Oryctolagus cuniculus: one gene and its partners. Each later gene encodes a partner of the first gene's protein in a complex. Links are inferred from orthologs where the notes say so. Each region holds a gene or a part of one and is shown on either strand. Other genes may lie near its edges.

The links. The genes of interacting proteins can lie anywhere in the genome.
Region 2: the proteins of GNAS (region 1) and HTR1A are in contact, whole or in part, in a cryo-EM structure (PDB 9GL2), measured with the Homo sapiens proteins. The link is inferred for Oryctolagus cuniculus from reciprocal best matches to the Homo sapiens genes GNAS and HTR1A. Residues at the interface, in NP_000507.1 of Homo sapiens: Ala39, Asp215, Lys216, Val217, Arg342, Arg347, Thr350, Ala351, Gly355, Tyr358, Phe376, Arg380, Asp381, Ile383, Gln384, Arg385, His387, Leu388, Arg389, Gln390, Tyr391, Glu392, Leu393, Leu394; in NP_000515.2 of Homo sapiens: Asn69, Ala71, Asp133, Arg134, Ala137, Ile138, Pro141, Ile142, Tyr144, Val145, Asn146, Arg148, Ile218, Ala222, Arg225, Ile226, Lys228, Thr229, Lys232, Val233, Asn325, Arg327, Asn328, Lys332, Arg339, Lys342, Thr343, Thr346, Leu347, Asn404.
Region 3: the proteins of GNAS (region 1) and GPR52 are in contact, whole or in part, in a cryo-EM structure (PDB 8HMP), measured with the Homo sapiens proteins. The link is inferred for Oryctolagus cuniculus from reciprocal best matches to the Homo sapiens genes GNAS and GPR52. Residues at the interface, in NP_000507.1 of Homo sapiens: Lys34, Gln35, Arg38, Ala39, His41, Lys216, Val217, Phe219, Tyr318, Pro321, Arg342, Asp343, Leu346, Arg347, Thr350, Ala351, Tyr358, Cys359, Pro361, Phe376, Cys379, Arg380, Asp381, Ile383, Gln384, Arg385, His387, Leu388, Gln390, Tyr391; in NP_005675.3 of Homo sapiens: Tyr74, Arg139, Ala142, Ile143, Thr144, Pro146, Leu147, Asn150, Gln151, Thr154, Pro155, Ile226, Phe227, Ile229, Cys230, His233, Thr234, Glu236, Ile237, Arg240, Arg243, Phe244, Ser246, His247, Tyr263, Ala264, Met265, Phe268, Arg269.
Region 4: the proteins of GNAS (region 1) and GPR4 are in contact, whole or in part, in a cryo-EM structure (PDB 8Z9O), measured with the Homo sapiens proteins. The link is inferred for Oryctolagus cuniculus from reciprocal best matches to the Homo sapiens genes GNAS and GPR4. Residues at the interface, in NP_000507.1 of Homo sapiens: Gln31, Lys34, Gln35, Arg38, His41, Asp215, Lys216, Val217, Tyr358, Tyr360, Phe376, Arg380, Asp381, Ile383, Gln384, Arg385, His387, Leu388, Gln390, Tyr391, Glu392, Leu393, Leu394; in NP_005273.1 of Homo sapiens: Gln45, Arg49, Asn50, Leu52, Asp114, Arg115, Ala118, Val119, Ala120, His121, Pro122, Leu123, Arg124, Arg129, Arg130, Lys132, Tyr201, Ile204, Ala207, Val208, Gly210, Ser211, Val212, Ser213, Thr214, Glu218, Lys221, Ile222, Leu225, Asn290.

The regions. Positions count from the first base shown.
Region 1 is NC_091442.1:3,426,355-3,430,602, reverse strand, and holds the start of GNAS (guanine nucleotide-binding protein G(s) subunit alpha isoforms XLas), read left to right. Parts: upstream 1-1,448; 5' UTR 1,449-1,463; coding exon 1,464-3,351; intron 3,352-4,248. UniProt on the Homo sapiens protein: Guanine nucleotide-binding proteins (G proteins) function as transducers in numerous signaling pathways controlled by G protein-coupled receptors (GPCRs).
Region 2 is NC_091445.1:84,850,603-84,854,647, reverse strand, and holds HTR1A (5-hydroxytryptamine receptor 1A), read left to right. Parts: upstream 1-1,881; coding exon 1,882-3,150; downstream 3,151-4,045. UniProt on the Homo sapiens protein: G-protein coupled receptor for 5-hydroxytryptamine (serotonin). Also functions as a receptor for various drugs and psychoactive substances.
Region 3 is NC_091438.1:2,810,023-2,815,155, forward strand, and holds GPR52 (G-protein coupled receptor 52), read left to right. Parts: upstream 1-1,938; 5' UTR 1,939-2,076; coding exon 2,077-3,162; 3' UTR 3,163-4,255; downstream 4,256-5,133.
Region 4 is NC_091449.1:11,334,595-11,339,817, forward strand, and holds the start of GPR4 (G-protein coupled receptor 4), read left to right. Parts: upstream 1-2,028; 5' UTR 2,029-2,034; coding exon 2,035-2,150; exon of another isoform or gene 2,151-3,458; intron 3,459-5,223. UniProt on the Homo sapiens protein: Proton-sensing G-protein coupled receptor activated by extracellular pH, which is required to monitor pH changes and generate adaptive reactions. Activated by an optimal pH of 6.8-7.2.

The DNA of each region.
Region 1 (4,248 bases):
GAGCGAGCAGCCGCCGGGCTTGGTGGCTGCGCTTGCCGCAGCTTCTGCGGGCTAGCAGCGGAAAAGTAAAGCGACTGCCTGGGGACGGTCCTGGCGTGGCGCTGGGGGCTGCGGGATGACGGACCCGCCCTGCGGCCGGGGCCGGAGGCAGATGCCGCGCGCCTCGGCTGCTGTTGGTGCGGTGTTTGCGGGTTCCGCGCGCACGGGGTTGTGCGGTCTCCGAGACCACCCCCAAACCAGCCATAAACCCCGCAGCCGAAATCTTCCCCAGAGCGGAAGGATGTGTGGCGCTCTGAGACCTGCGCCCCGTGGGGCTCGGCTCCCCAGCGTGTCCCGCGACCCCCATTCCGTGCCGCCGCGGCCGCTACACTGCGGGGAGGCGGGGGGCTTGGCTTGGTTCTCCATGGTGCAGTCAGGAGACCCCCATATTGCGTCGCATCATTGTCCACAAAAACAGAGGGACCCCTTACTGCGCCGCCCACGGCCACTGCGGAGACCCCAGGAGCCACGGGGGTGGGCGATGCTAAAGTGCCTCGCCACGGCGGACCGCGGCAAGTGTACCCAAGGCGTTTTACAAAACAAACTGTGCGCTCGCTCTCGACAGCCCCCCTCGCTCCTCATCCTCCTCCCTGCCCTTCCGGTGGGCTCACGACCACCTGTCGCATTCCCGCGCGCGCACGCCACTGTCCCCGGGCATCTAGAGCCTTACGCTTGGCTCGAGATCTGGGGCTAGGGGCTTCGGCGCAGGGGTGCAGGGGTATCCTGGGGTGAAGGAAGAAAAAGAAAGCCCTCTGCAGTCCCCCGCCCCCCGAGGAGAGTCGGCGCGGGCGGGGAGGGAGCGATTCTGCTCCTGTTCTCCAGCATCCCGAGGCCCACGTCTTGTGTCACGTGTCTCGCTCGCAACGCAGGAGAGCTTTGTGTGGCCAAGGGGAGAAGCGAGGAGAAAGGCTCCAAATCAGTCAGGGAGAGGCGTGGAAGGAGCCCAAACGTCCCTGCGAGGCCTGCGCTCGCCAGCCCCTTACCCAAAGCCGGGCCGGCGGTGCAGGGAACCAGCTTGGCACCGGGACCTGCGTCCTCTGGTGGCAGAGAGAGCGCGCGACTGGCGATTTTCGGACCGAATCGGCACGCTCCTCAAATCCAAGCAGTCTGTGTTGGCCTGGAGCAGAGAGAGAGAGAGAGAGAGAGAGAGAGAGAGGAGGGGACGAAGGCCGAGCAGGCCGGGTGGGGGCCTGAGGGAATCACCAGTGGCCAGGAAGGAGCCAAGACTTCACCAGCCAGAACTGCACTGCCTTGGCCATGGTCTGGGGTTCTAGGCCCTGAGTGCGCTCGGGAAGTGAGGCCGCAGAACTTCCCAGCTGGTACTTTTTTCTTTCTTCCTTTCAAATAATTTTTTTCACCCTAGTTCGGTTGGGTGCTCCGTCTCACGGAGCCCCCACATCATTGTAAGAGGCCGCCACCGTGTTATGGGCCTGCGCTACTGCCTCGACGGCAATAATATGTCAGGACAACGCCATCTCCCCCCTGAAGTCGGGGAGCAGCCTCCACAGCCAGCCTTGGAGGCCCCAGGGCCAGCTGCCCCCGGTGCTGGGCCTGGCCCAGCCGAAGAGATGGAGACCCAGCCGCCTGCCAGCGAGCCCGTCCCCGCACAGGCTGGCGCCGAGGCCTGTGAACCCCCTGAGGTCTCCGGGGGCACCCTGGAGGGCCTCGCCGTGGCAGCTGACCAGGAATTCGGAGGCGATGGAGGCTACAGCCCACCTCCCGAGGAAGCCATGCCTTTTGAGGTCCAGCAGCCCAGCGTGGGAGGCTTCTGGCCCACCCCAGGGCCCATCGCAGGCCTCGAGGCCTCTGTGGATCCCGGAGTCTCGGGCAGTGCCGGGCCTGGCCTGGGAGGCTACAGCCCCCCACCAGAAGAAGCCATGCCCTTTGAGTTCGAGGAGCCTGCTGGCCAGGGAGGCTGCAGCCAGCCAGCATCGGGGGTCCCCGACCTCGCTCCCGGTGGCACAGACCTGGGGGTCCCTGGAGCTCCTCCCGGGAAGTCCGGGGCGCTCAGGCCTGCCAGCGCTGGCCTTGGAGGAGGCTATAGCCCTCCCCCCGAGGAGGCTATGCCATTTCAGCTTGATGGAGAGGCCTTTGGGGACGACAGCCCACCCCCCGGGCTCCCCCGAGCGCTCCCACAAGTTGCCAACGGCGACGGTGGCAGCAGCGCGGCAATCGCGGTCCCGAGTGCGGTCTGCCTCGCTCCCGCCACCGACGCGCCACCCCTCTGGGTCCCAGAGGCTGTCAGAGCTGCTGCTAACTTCGCGGGCGCCAGCCCCCCGATGGAGATCGCCGGACCCCCGCTCGAGATGCGCAGCGCCCCCGTCGGGGTCGACGACGCTCCCGTCAGCATGGACAGCCCCCCAATCGCGAGTGATGGCCCGCCCATCAAGGTCTCCGGAGCCCCAGATAAGAGGGAGCGCGGCGAGAGACCCCCAGTTGAGGGTGAAGCAGCCGAGATGGAAGGAGGCTCGGTCAGCGCCTCTGCGGAGAAAGGAGAAGTCCCCTCTCCGGGGGACGGAGCCTCGGGCGCCCCAGCTGGGGCCGCTCCCGCCGCCGGAGCCGCTCCCGCCGCCCCGGCGGAGCCCGAAGCCGGGGGAGCCCCGGCCGCTCCTGGCACTGCGGCCGCCGGGGCAGCCCCGGCCGATGCCGAAGCCGACGCCGACACCCGCGCAGCCCCCGGCGCCGCAGCCGCTCCTGATGCCGGGGCAGCCCCTGCCGCCGGTGGAGCCCCTGGTGCCCCGGCCGAGCACGCCGCAGCCGCCGGGGCCCCCCAGGCAGCCCCCGCCGCGCCTGCCTCCGGGGCCAGACGCAGGCTCCATCTGCTCAGACCCCCCAGCCCCGAGATCCAGGCTGCTGACCCGCCTACTCCGCGGCCTGCTCGCGCGGCTGCCTGGCGGGGCAGAGCTGAGCGCGGCCGAAGCCGCCGCCGCTACGACGACGAGGGGTCGACCAGCGGCGACGCCGACTCCTCCAGCGGGGACGAGTCCGAAGAGCGGGCCGCCGGCTGCTTCCACTGGTTCCAGCGCCGCACACGCCGCCGCCGCAAGCCCCGGCGCAACTTGCTCCGCAACTTCCTCGTGCAGGCTTTCGGGGGCTGCTTCGGTGGTCGATCTGAGAGCCCCCAGCCCAAGCCCGCGAGCCCCAGCAAGGCCAAGAAGGTTTCTCTGGCAGAGAAGCGCCGACAGATGCGCAGGGAGGCCATGGAGAAGCGCGCCCAGAAGCGCGCCGAGAAGAAACGCAGCAGGCTCATCGACAAGCAGCTGCAGGCCGAGAAGATGGGCTACATGTGCACTCACCGCCTGCTGCTTCTAGGTAACGCGGCGGCGGACTCTGCCCAGGGGCAGCAGCCCCGCCGGGGACCGGGGAGGGGGCGCGGGGCGCGGGGCTCGGCCGCGGGAGGAGGGGGCACGGCCAGGAAGTTCCACGGAGGGACCCTAACTTTGCCCCGGGCGCGGGAGGGGAGCTGGGGCGGGTTCGGGTGGCCGAGGTGTGTGCCCTCCAGGGAGAAAAGTGGTGCCGAGCGACACTGAGGGTCGTTTCCGGCTGGACAGGCCAGCGCCAGCGACCGTAAGCTGGACAGGCGGGGGCTTCAGGTGAGCCGGGAACTGCCGGAAAGGGGCGCCCACTCTCCGCCGGCTTAGGTTTGTTGGGGCCGCGGTGGGCTAGGGCCATCGGGGAAGGCGCGCCCCCGCCTCGCCTGGCACGGCTTGTTCTCGGCCAGCTTGTCGTTGGTGTGTGTCGGTGTGCGTATTCTCTGTGTCCGCCTGTGCATGACACGCTCAAGTGTTCCCCATCCCCGGCAACCCCCCCATCCCCGGATTACCCGCCGACCGTGTACTTGTACTTGGGGACGGGCTGTCGTGATGCGCGCCATGGCGCGGGCTGAAACTTTGCGCGTCTGCACACTCGTATGACACCTGTGCGCCGGCACTCCGCGGCGGAACCCGGCTGGGCCACCGGCCCGGGGGGGCGCCTCGGTAACCTTGTTCCTCTGTGTCTTTCTCTCTTTCTCCCTGTGCGCTAAGTGTTTCCTCACTTCTCATTCGTTCGCCAAACCCTCCCGCCTTTACAGTTGAAAAACCAGACACGCAGCACAGGTATCTGGGGCATTGGGGCTGCACACTGGATTTCAGCATTGCGCACAAGCACACTCACCTGGAGGGGGATGGGAAGTGGCTGGGGTGGGGGATGGAGGACATCTAGCCTGCT
Region 2 (4,045 bases), on another chromosome or scaffold:
AGTCTCTTAATGTTTAATGTTAAATCATACCATTTGGCAAATGTAATAACGTTCTTCCCCCCAGTAAAAAGTGAATACTTTAAACTATGAGAATTCCAAAGTGGAGGCCACGGCAGGAGAAAACCAAACCAACAGAGGTAAAGTCCCCCCCCCCCCCCCCCCAGGTAGAATTTGTGAATGCCAGGTGCGACAGACTTTTTAAAACAGCTAGAACATTTCAGAGCCTGCTATAGAAGGTTAAGAGGAATAAAGAACACAATAGAATGAAACAAAACCCGGTGCTCTTTTTTCTTTTAATAATCATCTTCCTCTTTCTTGAAGTTATGGTAGTTCCACGATATCTGCTTCATTTCTACAATTGTTTCTACAAGGCTCTCTAAAGCACTCGCCGGCAGGTGGCGACATAAGCCCTTATTGCGTTGAGCTGTCCCAGGTGCTGAACCAGTTTCAGCTATTGAGAGAAGCTCAGGGGCTAGCCACCGGGGATTCCAAGTTCGCCGTACAGGTTTGCGGGCTTCAGTTAAAAGTGAAAAAGTCCCGATGGAATACAGGACGTCATTTCCAACAAATAGGCAAAATGTTTCCTGCTCTGAATTTTCCCACTTCAAAACTATCAGACGTGGCAGCATTCACTAAAATTAAAAGGACAATAGTGACAGAAAATTGTGTGGGCTTGTGTGTAGAATACATACCGAGGTGTGATTCCTCCCCTCACAGCTGTTTGCCTGTCCTTGTATTTTAACATGACTTTTATAATTCCGTTCTCCCTTAATTCCCCAACGTTAAAAAAGAGAAGGGAGTCATAGGCACCATTCGTCCGTAAGGAGTCAGGCTGGACTATTAGAGGATGGAAGGAGGTGACTTTTAAACAGCTAGGACACACTCCGTCTTTTAATCAAGTAAGGATCATTTACAGAGGGACCTGGGGCTGTCCACCTTTCCTCTCCGGCGTCGTGTATCCCTTTGCCTTATATCCTACAGCCACGCTGTGGTGCTGATTTTAAGGATTTGACAGAGATAAGAGGCAATGGATAGTTAGAAGGGGGGGGGGGAGAGTTTTTCCTCCTCTCGAGTTTGGCTGGGTGGGGGGCGGAGTTTACTTGTTACAACGCTGGTCTGGCGGATAGGGTGTGTGCAAACGAATTCTGAGTCTCTGTTGGCAGAAAGGGAGTCAGTGAAAGGACGCCGGGATAGAAGGAGAGGAGGGCGGGGACCCAGAGGGAAAAGGCGCCCAGGTTGGGGAGGTTTTCGGAGGGGAGGGCTAGCGTGGGAGGGAGGGAGACCGGCTGTGGAGCGACACACAGGGATAAAGAAAAGGAGGTGAGAGGGAGGAGGGAGGCCGAAAAGGAAGGTAGCGGGGAGAAGGGAGGAGGAGGAGGCTGAAGGGACCCAGAAGAGAAGGGAGGAGAGAGTGAGAGGGAGGCAGAGAGGGACGCAGGAGGGAGGGTCACAGAGCCAGCGCCTGGGACGATGGGGCTCCTCTATTCCAGATACTTCTGGGATTGGAGACTGTTTGCTAGTGGGGAGACTCCGGCTCCGGCAGCCAGTTGGGCAGCGACAAAGTAAAATGGACAGCGAGAGACTGACGCCCAAGCCACCTCTGCGCCGCCCGCAGATTCCGCAGCTGCTCTCGGGCCAACTCCAGTTGCCCCGCTGGAGCCTCTGAGCGCCCTGGACCGCGGGAGCGCACCGAGCGCCTGCAAGCTGCTACTGAGAGATGCCTTCGCCAGAGCAGTAAGAACTTCCCGCCGGAGTCCCTGCCTCCCCTTCCTCGGAAGCTCCCCGGGAGAAGGGGCGGAAGACCCCCGGGGGAGGGGCGAGGGGGATCCTCTCGCGGCTCCGTCTCCCCTCCCCCTCCCCCCGCCGGGCGCGCAGGCAGGCATGGATGTGCTCAGTCCCGGCCGGGGCAACAACACGACGTCGTCCCAGGGTCCCCTCGGGACAGGCGGCAACGCCACTGGCATCTCCGACGTGACCTTCAGCTACCAAGTAATCACCTCCCTGCTGCTGGGCACGCTCATCTTCTGCGCGGTGCTGGGCAATGCGTGCGTGGTGGCTGCCATCGCCCTGGAGCGCTCCCTCCAGAACGTGGCCAACTATCTCATCGGCTCTCTGGCGGTCACCGACCTCATGGTGTCCGTGCTGGTGCTCCCCATGGCCGCGCTGTACCAGGTGCTCAACAAGTGGACTCTGGGCCAGGTCACCTGCGACCTGTTCATCGCCCTCGACGTGCTGTGCTGCACTTCATCCATCCTGCACCTGTGCGCCATCGCACTGGACAGGTACTGGGCCATCACGGACCCCATCGACTACGTGAACAAGAGGACGCCCCGGCGTGCCGCCGCGCTCATCTCGCTCACTTGGCTCATTGGCTTCCTCATCTCCATCCCGCCCATGCTGGGCTGGCGCACCCCGGAAGACCGCTCCGACCCTGACGCGTGCACCATCAGCAAGGACCACGGCTACACCATCTACTCCACTTTCGGCGCTTTCTATATCCCGCTGCTGCTCATGCTGGTCCTCTACGGGCGCATCTTTCGCGCCGCGCGCTTCCGCATCCGCAAAACTGTCAAGAAGGTGGAGAAGAAAGGCGCAGACACCCGTTTTGGAGCTTCGCCGGCCCCACAACCCAGAAAGAGCGTGAACGGAGAGCCAGGGAGCAGAGACTGGAGGCAGGGCGTGGAGAACAAGGGTGTGGGGCTTGCGTGCGCCAACGGCGCGGTGAGACAGGGCGACGATGGCGCCGCCCTGGAGGTGATCGAGGTGCACCGGGTGGGCAACTCCAAGGAGCACCTGCCGCTTCCTAGCGAGGCGGGTGCCGCCGCCGGTGCCCCTGCCTCCTTTGAGCGGAAAAATGAGCGCAATGCCGAAGCCAAGCGCAAAATGGCCCTGGCCCGTGAGAGGAAGACGGTGAAGACACTGGGCATCATCATGGGCACGTTTATCCTCTGCTGGCTGCCCTTCTTCATAGTGGCCCTGGTCCTGCCCTTCTGCGAGAGCAGCTGCCACATGCCCACGCTGTTGGGCGCCATCATCAACTGGCTGGGCTACTCCAACTCTCTGCTCAACCCTGTCATTTATGCCTACTTCAACAAGGACTTTCAAAACGCGTTTAAGAAGATTATCAAGTGCAAGTTCTGCCGCCGATGATGCTGAAGGTGTAGCCGGCGAGTAGGGGTTGTAGGACCCACTCCATGTAGCCTGCTCCCCCAGCCCCTGGAACCATCGCCTAAGATAACTTGCTACTTTTCCTGGAACTTTTCTGCTGCGCCCAAGGCTTCCAGACGTCGCCCCCTCCCAAGCCCCTGCTCCCAGGGAGAGCGCTGTGTGCAGAGAAGCCCCAAGGTCTGTGAGAAGCAACGGTGTCTCAGTCTGCGGCCTCAGCAGCACTTTTGATTCCAGCAATTGCTGCCTTCAAATTCTGTCCCCCGGATCTGCGAGGTGGAAGCTTAAGCCCCAGGTATTCAAGGTAGAAAGTCCAATTAGAAAACTAAACAAGCAGCAACAATAACAACAAAAAACTGCCTACAGCTGCTGGGTCCACTAACAGCTTCCACCTGACGCCGAGCTTCTAGTGCTTGCATTTAAGGATAAGGATTTCGATCCATCTCTCCAGCCCTCTTCCCCTAGAAATATCCACTCTGTGTGTCTCCCTCTCCTCTTCCTCCCCCCGGCCTTCTTATCTGACCTTAAGCGTCTGGTCCCTTGCATGCCCTGATCCTCTGGTCCAGAAATCTGGGAAGGTCTGTTTTCCGCTGTGTCAGCGGTGCCCTGGGGATCTCCGCCGCCCAGTATAGACTGCTGTGCACTGTCCCTGCTTGCTCTGTGTTCTTGGACTGCAAACAAGGGCCCAGCAGGTGTGTCTTAGATTGCACTTGTAAGTACGCGGCCGGGCCAGTGGGGGAGAACGAGGACAGAGTGTGGACCATTTTGTCCGTGTTTACCTGGGTGTCAGCACTCACCAAAGAAACCGACAATCACGCAACGACGAAGGTGGACTTGGGAATTTATAGGTTGCTGGCGAGTCTGCACACGCAGGCGTGGC
Region 3 (5,133 bases), on another chromosome or scaffold:
CATTGGCTGTGCTGCTGATTGGGGCAGCAGGACCGAGTCACCTTTCTCAGGGTGAGTTCTGCATCAGCTCAGGATGAGGAGCAGCGGGGCCGGGCTCAGGTGGAGGCAGTGATACTGAGAGACTGAAGAAGATGCCGACAGCATCCTGCTAGCTGCATCCCAGTAAATCGGACTTCCGTGTCAAGCAGCCCAGCCTGGCAGCTGGTAAGAGTGAATGTAGGTGAGAAGCATCACCTTATTCCGGTAACAAGAGGACTCTTTTGTGATAAGTGAAATTAGGAATTTGCAGGAAGAATACCCTGTGGCTATTTTAAAAGAAGAAGGACCTCACCGAATGGCTTGGTGTTGCACCAGAAAATAACTTTGAGAAGAATGCTTTCTGCTAAGCTGCTGCCTTGTTCCTGAAGGAAGTGCTTTTATTTCTAGTGCATGCTGTTTCTTCAAAAGGTATGCGAGCACAGATGGACAAGGTGCTGTCTGAGATGCCCGAGCTTTAAAAGACTTTGCAAACGTTCACCTGGTAGCAGAATGACCTTGGAAGCCGTTTTGGATGGATTTTATCCTGCCAGTCTTTCCGTATTTCAAACATTAGGATGTAAACTCATCTTGATGCATTGGGGGTATTCTAATACAAGACTGTATTGTAGCTTCCTACCTAATGGCCCCTATATCAATTGAGCATTTGCTCAAAGGAGAACACAGAAATAGAAGAGACATTTCTTAGCATATGGGTGCTTCATAACTGCAAATATAGTAAATATGGTTATTTTCCACTTTCAGAAGATCTTGCTGAAGAAATGATTTAGTGTTAATCATCTAATGACAATTGAAAAGGTATAGCAAAATAGAGTATAAAGCCTACTAGAAATACCTGTCATTAATAATGACGTTATTTCTAATCTAAGCTCAGAGCATATAGGAAAGTTTATGCTACTGTCTAAATTTCGTAAATGTTTACATACATGTGAGGTATAGGTATGCTTGCAAAGGTGAAAATTAACTGAGCTATCTGTTTTATTATGTTTCACTAAATGGAAAGAGGCATATCAATTAATGCAAGTTATTTTCAGTTATACTTGTAACTGTTGGAATTGATGGCAAAAAGTATTTATTTTTATTTTGAAAGGGAAGAGGTATAAATTACATTGGTGGTAGGAGCATTGGTATCTATAATGGGCTGAAATTGTTTGTATCTAAATGCTTAAAAAAGTATGCAGAATTAAAACTTTAGAAGTTCATAATTTGTCATTTGTTAATTGTTGTATATTTTCTTCCCTATTGAAAACACACTTTTTTTCTCACAAAAGTTACAGGGCAGTCTGGAGTCTGTTTGTGAAACCTATTCTGCTCTTTGTGCCCACAGAAAGATAAATCTTTGAAATTGACCTTAATAAGGTGTTTTCTTAATTTTTTTAAAAAATGAGAGAAACGTGGACTATAAAGTTGACCTACCAGCAGCAAATCCTGAACTGAGCCCAAAGATACTCTTTGCCACAATGAACTGTTTCTTTTCCTCCCAACCAAATGTGAGCTCTTAATTATTTAAATTCTAAGATTTGAATGGTTTTTCCTAAGTGAAGCAGGAAGCCCGAGACAATTTAAGACTTTCTTTTCTCATTCTTCCTAGTTGATCTCTAGGACAGTAGTACCTCTTTCAGGAGGACGAAGGACCACAGAAGCTCTGTCTCCCCTGGCCATCGTGTCTGTGCGTGCTTGCCTTCTTTTTACAGATGTCATTTTTCACAGTGCAGGGTAGGAAGACATGCTTTTCTCTAGACGTGCCTTGTATCTGCACAAAGTTGTTTGCGAGCACTGGAAGGAGCTAATCGGTGACCTGTTTTCACCTCCTTTCTAGCTAACTCCCCTCCTCCTCTTCCCCCCAAAGCTGAGGTGTGTCACTGCTGAACTGAGGCAGAGGAGGAGACTGGAGCACTCTTTGGGACACTCAGCTGTGACAGAAGCTCTGACACTGTCTACTGCAGCAGGTTCTGAGCCACTTGTGTGCAGAGTGGAACAGATGCTGGGCAGGGCACTTGCTTGGCGCAGCCAAGACTGCGGGTTCCCCTGATTCAAGCCATGAATGATTCTAAGTGGACTGACTGGCGGATCGTGAACATGAGCAGTGGCATTGTGAACGTGTCCGAGCATCACTCCTGCCCGCTTGGATTTGGCCACTACAGCGCGGTGGATGTCTGCATCTTTGAGACGGCCGTGATTGTCTTGCTGACATTTCTGATCATTGCTGGAAATCTCACAGTCATCTTTGTCTTTCACTGTGCTCCACTCCTACACCACTATACTACCAGCTATTTCATTCAAACAATGGCGTACGCTGATCTTTTCGTTGGAGTTAGCTGCCTGGTTCCCACTCTCTCACTTCTCCACTACTCCACAGGTGTCCACGAGTCGTTGACTTGCCAGATTTTTGGATATATCATTTCCGTTCTGAAAAGTGTTTCCATGGCTTGTCTGGCTTGCATCAGTGTGGATCGCTATCTTGCAATAACCAAGCCTCTGTCCTACAATCAGCTGGTCACTCCTTGTCGCCTGAGGATTTGCATTATTTTGATCTGGCTCTACTCCTGCCTGATCTTCTTGCCTTCCTTTTTCGGCTGGGGGAAACCTGGTTACCATGGTGACATTTTTGAGTGGTGTGCCACCTCTTGGCTCACGAGTGCCTATTTCACTGGCTTCATTGTTTGTTTACTTTATGCTCCTGCTGCCTTTGTTGTCTGCTTCACTTACTTCCACATTTTCAAAATCTGCCGGCAGCACACCAAAGAGATCAGTGACCGAAGAGCCCGGTTCCCTAGCCATGAGGTAGACGCCTCTAGAGAGACTGGACACAGTCCTGACCGCCGCTACGCCATGGTTTTGTTTAGGATAACCAGTGTGTTTTACATGCTGTGGCTCCCTTATATCATTTACTTTCTTCTGGAAAGCTCCCGAGTCTTGGACAGTCCGACATTGTCGTTCTTAACGACCTGGCTGGCTATAAGTAACAGTTTCTGTAACTGTGTGATCTACAGCCTCTCCAACAGCGTTTTCCGGCTTGGCCTCCGCAGACTGTCCCAGACAATGTGCACGTCTTGTATGTGTGTGGACGGTCAGGAAGCACGAGACCCCAAGCCTAGGAAACGGGCTAATTCCTGCTCCATTTGAGGAGAGCCACACAGACAATCACATGCAGCCTGACAGTGATTCTGGATTGTATTCTTGATTCATCTGGAAATTGCCACCAGAGAAACACTTACTTGAATAGTTGACTGTGAAATGAAGGATGAAACTAAAGGTTTCTCACCCCCCCCCATGGAAAAAACTAAAGGAAAGATGTATAGACGGTAACTTAAAGAGATAATTATAGTGTGTGAGTATAAATGTACAGTATTAAGGAAAATTAAGTGCTGAGGATGAAAAAGGTGTCTCAGTTCTTGTCTAGGACAGGAGCAAGCCCCCTGGATGTCTCTGTCTCCCTGTCTGTATTCTCTGCCTGTCTGTCTGTCTCTGATTTTGTGGCTCTCCATTTCTTTGACTCTCTGTGTTTATAAAAGTTGTCACTTAGCTAAATTGCCCCTTATAGAAAAATGCTACATATTATATATGTGGCAAAGTATAACCTTTGCATCAAAGTGTATTTTTAAGCACACTAATTATAATCCCTAAGTGGTCTCTTCTTGGAGGATCTGCAGTAGTGTTTTTTATTACTTGCCACAGGACCCTTTAGTTTATGTTTTTGTAATCTTTGCTGCAGAAATTTCCTGCTACAAACAAAAGCAAACAGTACTTTAGTTTCTTCTAGGTAAAGTGGCATTTGCTTTTTTCCCCCTCTTCTTAACAACCTACTTTTTTTTCCTCTCTCCATTTTTCTTGATCTGCATCCTTTTTATAATTTACTCCCGGAACTGGCTTAGCTAATAAAGGAAGCTACTGCAAAAAACAATCATAATGTGAAATAATTTATTCCTTTCAACGAAGCAATCTAGTAGTAGCCTGTTGGAGAGATTGTGTTATATATTTTAAATGGCTTTGGAAATATTTTTATATGATTCCTTTTAAATTAATTCATGTGTCTAATGCAGTGTCATTTTGCTGTGGTACACCTTGGTTTTTCTTTAAAAAAACCCACCAGTGATTTTAATGCAGAGTCTGGGTGTTCACCAAGCAGTAAGTTGTTACTCTTAATGCCACTTGGAATGTTCTTTAAAAAAAAAAAAAAAAGTAAAATGTTAACCTTTCTGTGTTAGGTCTCCAATAACTTCCTGTTATATTCCCTAGTCCTTTATGTGATAGGAGCTTGCACATACTATATTTTTTACAACAAAGAAAATATAAAATATATTATGTGATCTGTGCCTAATGTTTTCTTAGCACAATATATAGATCAATGTTGCTTCAGTTGTCAACATTGGGAAAAATATATACAAAAACTTATTTTAAGAGAAAAATACTTTTGTGTAGATATTATTTAGATATTTATATTAGACAAAGCTGCATCCTTAGTGCTGCTGAGATTATAATGTACTTAGTTATTACATACAGGTAAGAGCTGTCAGTATTTTCTTTTGTAACGATCTGTTTTCAGATGCAGAGATTAACTTATTTTTAGTGTGCTATATGGGACGGTGTAGTATATTGTTAGGGGTTTAGGTGAGGTGAGAAGACATTTGGAGAATTAGTTGTGAAGCAGGTATGAACAGTAAAATATCTAAATCTTTTTTTATTTTTACTGAGAGTTTCCTGCCTGAAGATATTTTAAAATTTCTATCAAAATACTGAGCATTTTTCTTCTCAGCATTTTTTGATTTCCTTGTTGTATGAAGTGCATTTAATGAAACGTGCCTATGACCTCAAGTTAGCAGCCAGCTCTGTTTGCACATTGGTGGTTCGATTTTGGAGACCTTTTGTGAAAATACTGTTGTTCTGAACCTCTGGCTATTTTCAACATGTAAGAAAGGTTTAAATAAAGAGTAAACTAGTATTCTATATCAAAATCAGGCTTTGCTTCTGTTTAATTAAATGCTTGTTTAGAACAAGACTTTACTTGTTTGGGAATTAAAATCTACTTGTCTTAGACTTCTGTAGTGTGGGTTTATATTGACTCTTGTCCTTTGTTTGCCTGTACCATCTTGGGTG
Region 4 (5,223 bases), on another chromosome or scaffold:
CGCCCGCCGCTCGCCCTTCCCGGCGCTGGCTCCCGCGGTCTCCGGCTCATCGCGGACCCTGTTTTTGCACCTTCTGCCCCATCTTCCTCCCCTCCCAAATCCTCACCCCAGACCTTCCCTGGGGGCCGGGAAGCTGCTTAGGAGTGGGGGCAGGGGGCAGTGGGATGGCGACCTGGAGCAGGTGGTCTCAGCGCCCCCTGCCCGGGTCACCCGCTGCTCCTGAGGTCCCTCGCACCCCACCGTTAGGTTTCAGGAATTCCTGGCTGGGGGGGGGGGGTGGACTTCCTCCCCCACTTCCTTCCAAAATTTGGCCGGTCACCGTTAACTCCTTCCTGCCTTGTCCTCACCCCCCCACACACACTTCACTTGCACACACGCACACACGCACACACGTGTGTACCGGCTGAGCAGTTTCTGTGAAGCGTGGGGTGTGTGTGCATGCGTGTGTGTGTGTGTGTGTGTGTGTGAGAGAGAGAGAGAGAGAGAGAGAGATGGATGGTGGGATGCAAGTTGGATTCTCCCCGTGCCCCCTGAGCCCGTGGAGGGAGCCTCCCACCCAGCCCTGTCTCCGTGGAGGAGGTTTAGGGTGAGGAGGGGCTGGGGGGCCGTGGAGAGCCCCCTGAACCCTTGCACCTGAGCACCTTAGGATGGCAGGATCCGGAGGCTGGTGCGCTCACCGGGCAGGACTGGAAACCCCAGATCCTGTAGGCAGCTGGGTGCTCCTTCCGTCCAGAAGCGCCAGCCTGGAAGTCTTGGCTGTTCTCAGCTTGGAGCTCCAGCTGGGCTGGGGAGCTGCGTAAGCCACACACACCCCCCAGCGGGTGACAGGTGGGGAAACCGAGGCACACTGCCAGTCAGAGAGCCAGGCTCCCCCCCCACACCGCCCTGCCCTGGGGAAGGGGAGCTTCAGGACCCCAAATCCAGAGTGCTGGCCTCCTTTGCTGCCGCTGCCTAGACTTGCTTTGGGGGATCCGGCTTGGCTGCCAGGGAGCGAGGGGTGGGTGCCTGGCGAGAATCCAGAAGGGAGGGTGCAGAGCAAATATTTCTGGAACCTTGCTGCCGAGGTGGGGGCGGGGTGTGTGTGGGTGGGTGGTGGGTGGGTGGGGACTGTTGGTGGGGGTGGAATGGGCGGAGCTTCAGAGGAGGGGGGAGAGAGAAGAGTGCGGGGGAGCGGGGTTTGACACCCGCACCCCCCCACCCTCCCCAGGAAGCCCACTGTTCCCTTGGGACACGGCCTGTAATTTGGTTTGTGTCTAGACAAATAATAACGCGGCCGGTGTGAGCCAGGAGAGCTGGGGCCCCGGCGGAGCTAGGGCTGGGGAAGCAGCCGGGGTGTCTGATGTCCCCTCCCTCCCCAGGTGGTGGGAATCCGGGGTGCAGGTGGCGGGGGCGCCCAGCCGCCCCCTGTCCCCGCCGCCAGGTCTCAGGACTCTGCTCCACCTTGGAAACCGGGCTGCAGGAATTGGAGATGAGAGCAGGTCTCGGGAACAGAGAGCGAGCGAGGGGGGCGCGCCCCGATTCTGTAGAAAAAGGGAAATGCGTGTTTGCGGGGCAGAGATAAAAATCAGTGAGGTTTAATAATAGATCCAGAAAGTCATGGAGTGTTCAAACAAAAAAAAAATCATAGAGCATTCTAACAATAGAACCGGAGAGTCCTGGAATGTGAGACTTTGGAGTATTGAAAACACAGAAGGTTATGCACTTCCAAAGCCCGGGTGGCCACAATAGCAGCACGGAGGGGAGGGAAGGTCTAGAATGCTACAGAACGTTCTATCCTGCAGAACTGGACCGACTATAGAACCTGGAAACGCCTGGAATGTAGAACATCAGGCGGGCACAGGCTGAGGACCCCAGTGTCCCTCTGGGGCAGCGTGGGCAAGGGGGTGGTGGAGACCCATCCCCTCCCCGGGGGTAGAAGTGGGGAAACTGAGGCCCGCAGGGCGGCCAGGGTGGCCTCGCTGCCCCTGGTTTCCGCCGGCTGCCAGGGCAGCAGGTGGGGAGCGCTGGCGGGGCGGTGATCACATTTCATCCCTAATGAACAGACCGGCGCTGGCTGGTCCCCTGGGGCCGCTGGGGAGGGGGCAGCCAGAGCCCACAGAGAGGGGGGAAGGGAGACCACCTGGTGGCTTCAGGCACAGGCCAGCCGGCCGGTGAGTGAGCTGGGGGTGTGGGGTCTGCATCGCTTCCCCCTCTTGTCCTCTCAACCTCCTCCCCCCGCCGTGAGTCCCTCAGCCTTGCTGATCTGGGGGTACCTGCCGGTGCCTAGGGACTTATCTGAGCTGGAGCAGCGGGGGGCCTGCAGAGAGGCGAGGGCTGAACAGTATCTGCCCTTCCTCACCATCGCTTCACACCAGGGCTTATCTCTCTTCCCTGCCCTCTGCAAGGGGCCAGCACCGACCTCAGGGAGGGGGTGGGGGCGGGACCTGCAAGAGGCAGCAGGAACCGACCGCTGACCGCAGGACCTGGGAGACAGGGAGAGCTTCCTGTTGGCTGCCAGATTTGGGGGTTCGCCCCAACAAAGCCCCAGTAAGGAAGTCAGCTTAGAGCCTAACGGCAGAAGGTCCTGCCCCAGGGGCTGGCGGGGGAGGCCAGGGGACGGAGGGACACTGGGTCACTTGCTCTGCTTGTGGTGGCAAGGCCTGCGTTGGCCAGCACGTTCTCACGGGGCCCCCAGAAAGCCGTGGGGGGAAAGAATGGGAGTGCGGGAGGTGGGGAGAAAAGCCGCTGAGGGAGGGGGAGTCTGGGGCTCAGAGGCCACGGCCCCGTCACATGGTATGACTTAGGCAGCTGCTTTGCCGATCGGTTACCCCCGCTGTACCGGGGGAAGGGTCAGACATCGCCTGGCATAATGGCTTTGTAAAGGGCTGACATTCCTTGTCGGCTGCTGGGGGCTCAGTGCCGGGCAGATCTCAGGTTGAGAAGAAGAGGGAGTTGGCAGGGTGCCCTTCCCCCACGCCCAGCATCCCTAAGCAGCAGGTGCACTGGGGGGGGGCGGGGGGAAGGGGCGGGGCTGCGCTGGCTCCCCTGGAGGAAGTTAGCTGTGGGAAGTGTTACTTCCTCTGCCTGGTGTGTACCTGCTCCAGCCGCGCCACAACCCAGGGGACACACGGAGAGGGGTGGGGCGGACGTGATGGCCGGGCCCAGTGCTGGTCTCGGCTCTCCAGGGCCTGCTCATGGGACCACTGTCCAGACACTGCACGTGCGACCAGGGCCTCCGCGGTCTGCGCCCGGTAAAGGTTGTGTGCCCTCCCACGGGAGGGGCAGCTGAGGCCCCGCATCCCAGGAACGAGGAGGGAGAGACCAAGAGGCTATAGAGTGCTGGGGCCCGGAACCAAGTGGAGGAGGATGGGGAGGGGTTCAGCGGGGAGGGGCCGGAGGTGTTTGGAGGTCTGGGCTTGAAGGCAGGGGTCACACACCACCTCACTCTTCCATCGCCAGGACCCGGAGGCCACTGTGGGGTGGGGGTGGGGTGGGGGCGGGGAGCCAGCTGCAGCTGTGTCTGAGGACCCTGCAGCGGGTAGGCGGGGCTTACTGAGGGGGCCTGCCCTGCCCTTTCAAAGTCAGTTATGAAGCGGGGCACATCCTGCAGCCTGCCTCGGCTGCTTCTTTCCTCCGGGGGAGGGGGTCGGGCTGCCCAGTGCTGCCCCTATCCCGGGCCTCTGGCCTCTGCCCTCAATGGCTTCTGTGCATGGTCATTTATTGAACGCCTACTGTATGCTGAGGATTCTGCTGAAGGACCTGAGTGGCCGTTGGGAAAAGCAGAGACGGTACTGCTGCACAGGGCCAGGGCGGAGGGTGGCAGGGGCTCCTGGGACAGGTGCGGGACCCAGGGCTCAGTGTGGAGGTGGAGCGGGGAGGAGACTGGTGTCTGGGGGCTCCCCAGGGACCCCTGTTGTGACCGGAGGCTCATCCCTGTGCCTCTCTGTCCAGCAGACTGAGCCACTGGTTTCTAGCGTTGTGTCCTGCAGGTTCTTTTAATTTTCATTTTATTTGAAAGGCAGAGGGGTTGGCGCTGTGGCGTAGCAGGTAAAGCTGCTGCCTGCAGTGCCGGCATCCATATGGGCGCTGGTTCAAGTCCTGGCTGCTCCACTTCCGATCCATCTCTCTGCTATGGCCTGGGAAAGCAGTGGAGGATGGCCCAAGTGCTTGGGCCCCTGCATTCGTGTGGGAGACCCGGAAGAAGCTCCTGGCTCCTGGCTTCGGATCGGCCCAGCTCCGGCCGTTGAGGCCAATTGGGGAGTGAACCAGCAGATGGGCGACCTCTCTCTCTCTCTCTCTAACTCTGACTTTCAAGTAAATAAATAAATCTTAAAAAAAAAATTAAAAAAAGGCAGAGAGACAGACACAGAGAGAGATCTTCATCCACTGGTTTGCACCCCAAATGCCCACAACAGCCAGGGCTGGGCCAGGTCGAAGCCAGGAGCCGGGCACTCCATCCGGGTCTCCCACGTGAGTGCAGGGGCCCAAGTGCGTGAGCCCTCACCTGCTGCCTCCCAGCAGGGACCCAGAGCTGGGACTCCCTCCAGTCTCGGCCACTGTCTCTGCTCAGCGCCCGCCCTCCCCACCCCCTCTCCCTCAGAGCGCAGGGCGCCTTCCCCTTATTGCCCTCAGCCTGGGTTTCCAGTTAAGATCTTGTTTTAAAAAACAGAGAAAAAGATTTCCCATCCACTGAAAACCAAGCGGGCATGGCTGTGCGGGAGCCTGTGCCGCGGGGTTCGCTGCCCCTCCCTCTGGGGCTGACCGCAGTCGGGGTCTCGGCCCCTGCCTGTCCTCAGAGCTCTGCTTGTAGTTCTCCCCCGACCACGGGTGCCAGGCCCAGGGTTCTGTCCGCGAGGCTGGAGGGGGAGAGGAGGCCCCTCCCTGCTCCTCTGTCCCTCCTCGGCTGCCAGCCCACGGCTCCTCTGGACACAAGCAGGGCGCAGGCTGGAGCGGTCCCCTCCGCCCATCAGCACCCTGGACAGGTCCTGGCCTCAGTTTGTCAAATGGGGCCTCTCCTCTCCTCTTTATGGGATTCTGCAAGGTGCTCATGGGATGATGCCCACCCAGGTGCTGGGAACGGGGTCTGCCAGGGCTGGCGCACGGGGGCCGGAGCATCGCCCTCATCTCCCTGTTGGGAGTGGGGTGCCCTCACACGGCACCCCACAGGCATGTTGGCTATCATGCACCAGCTGAGAACAAAGCAAGGCTGTTTGACGTTGAAGATACAAATGGGTCCCGGCACCA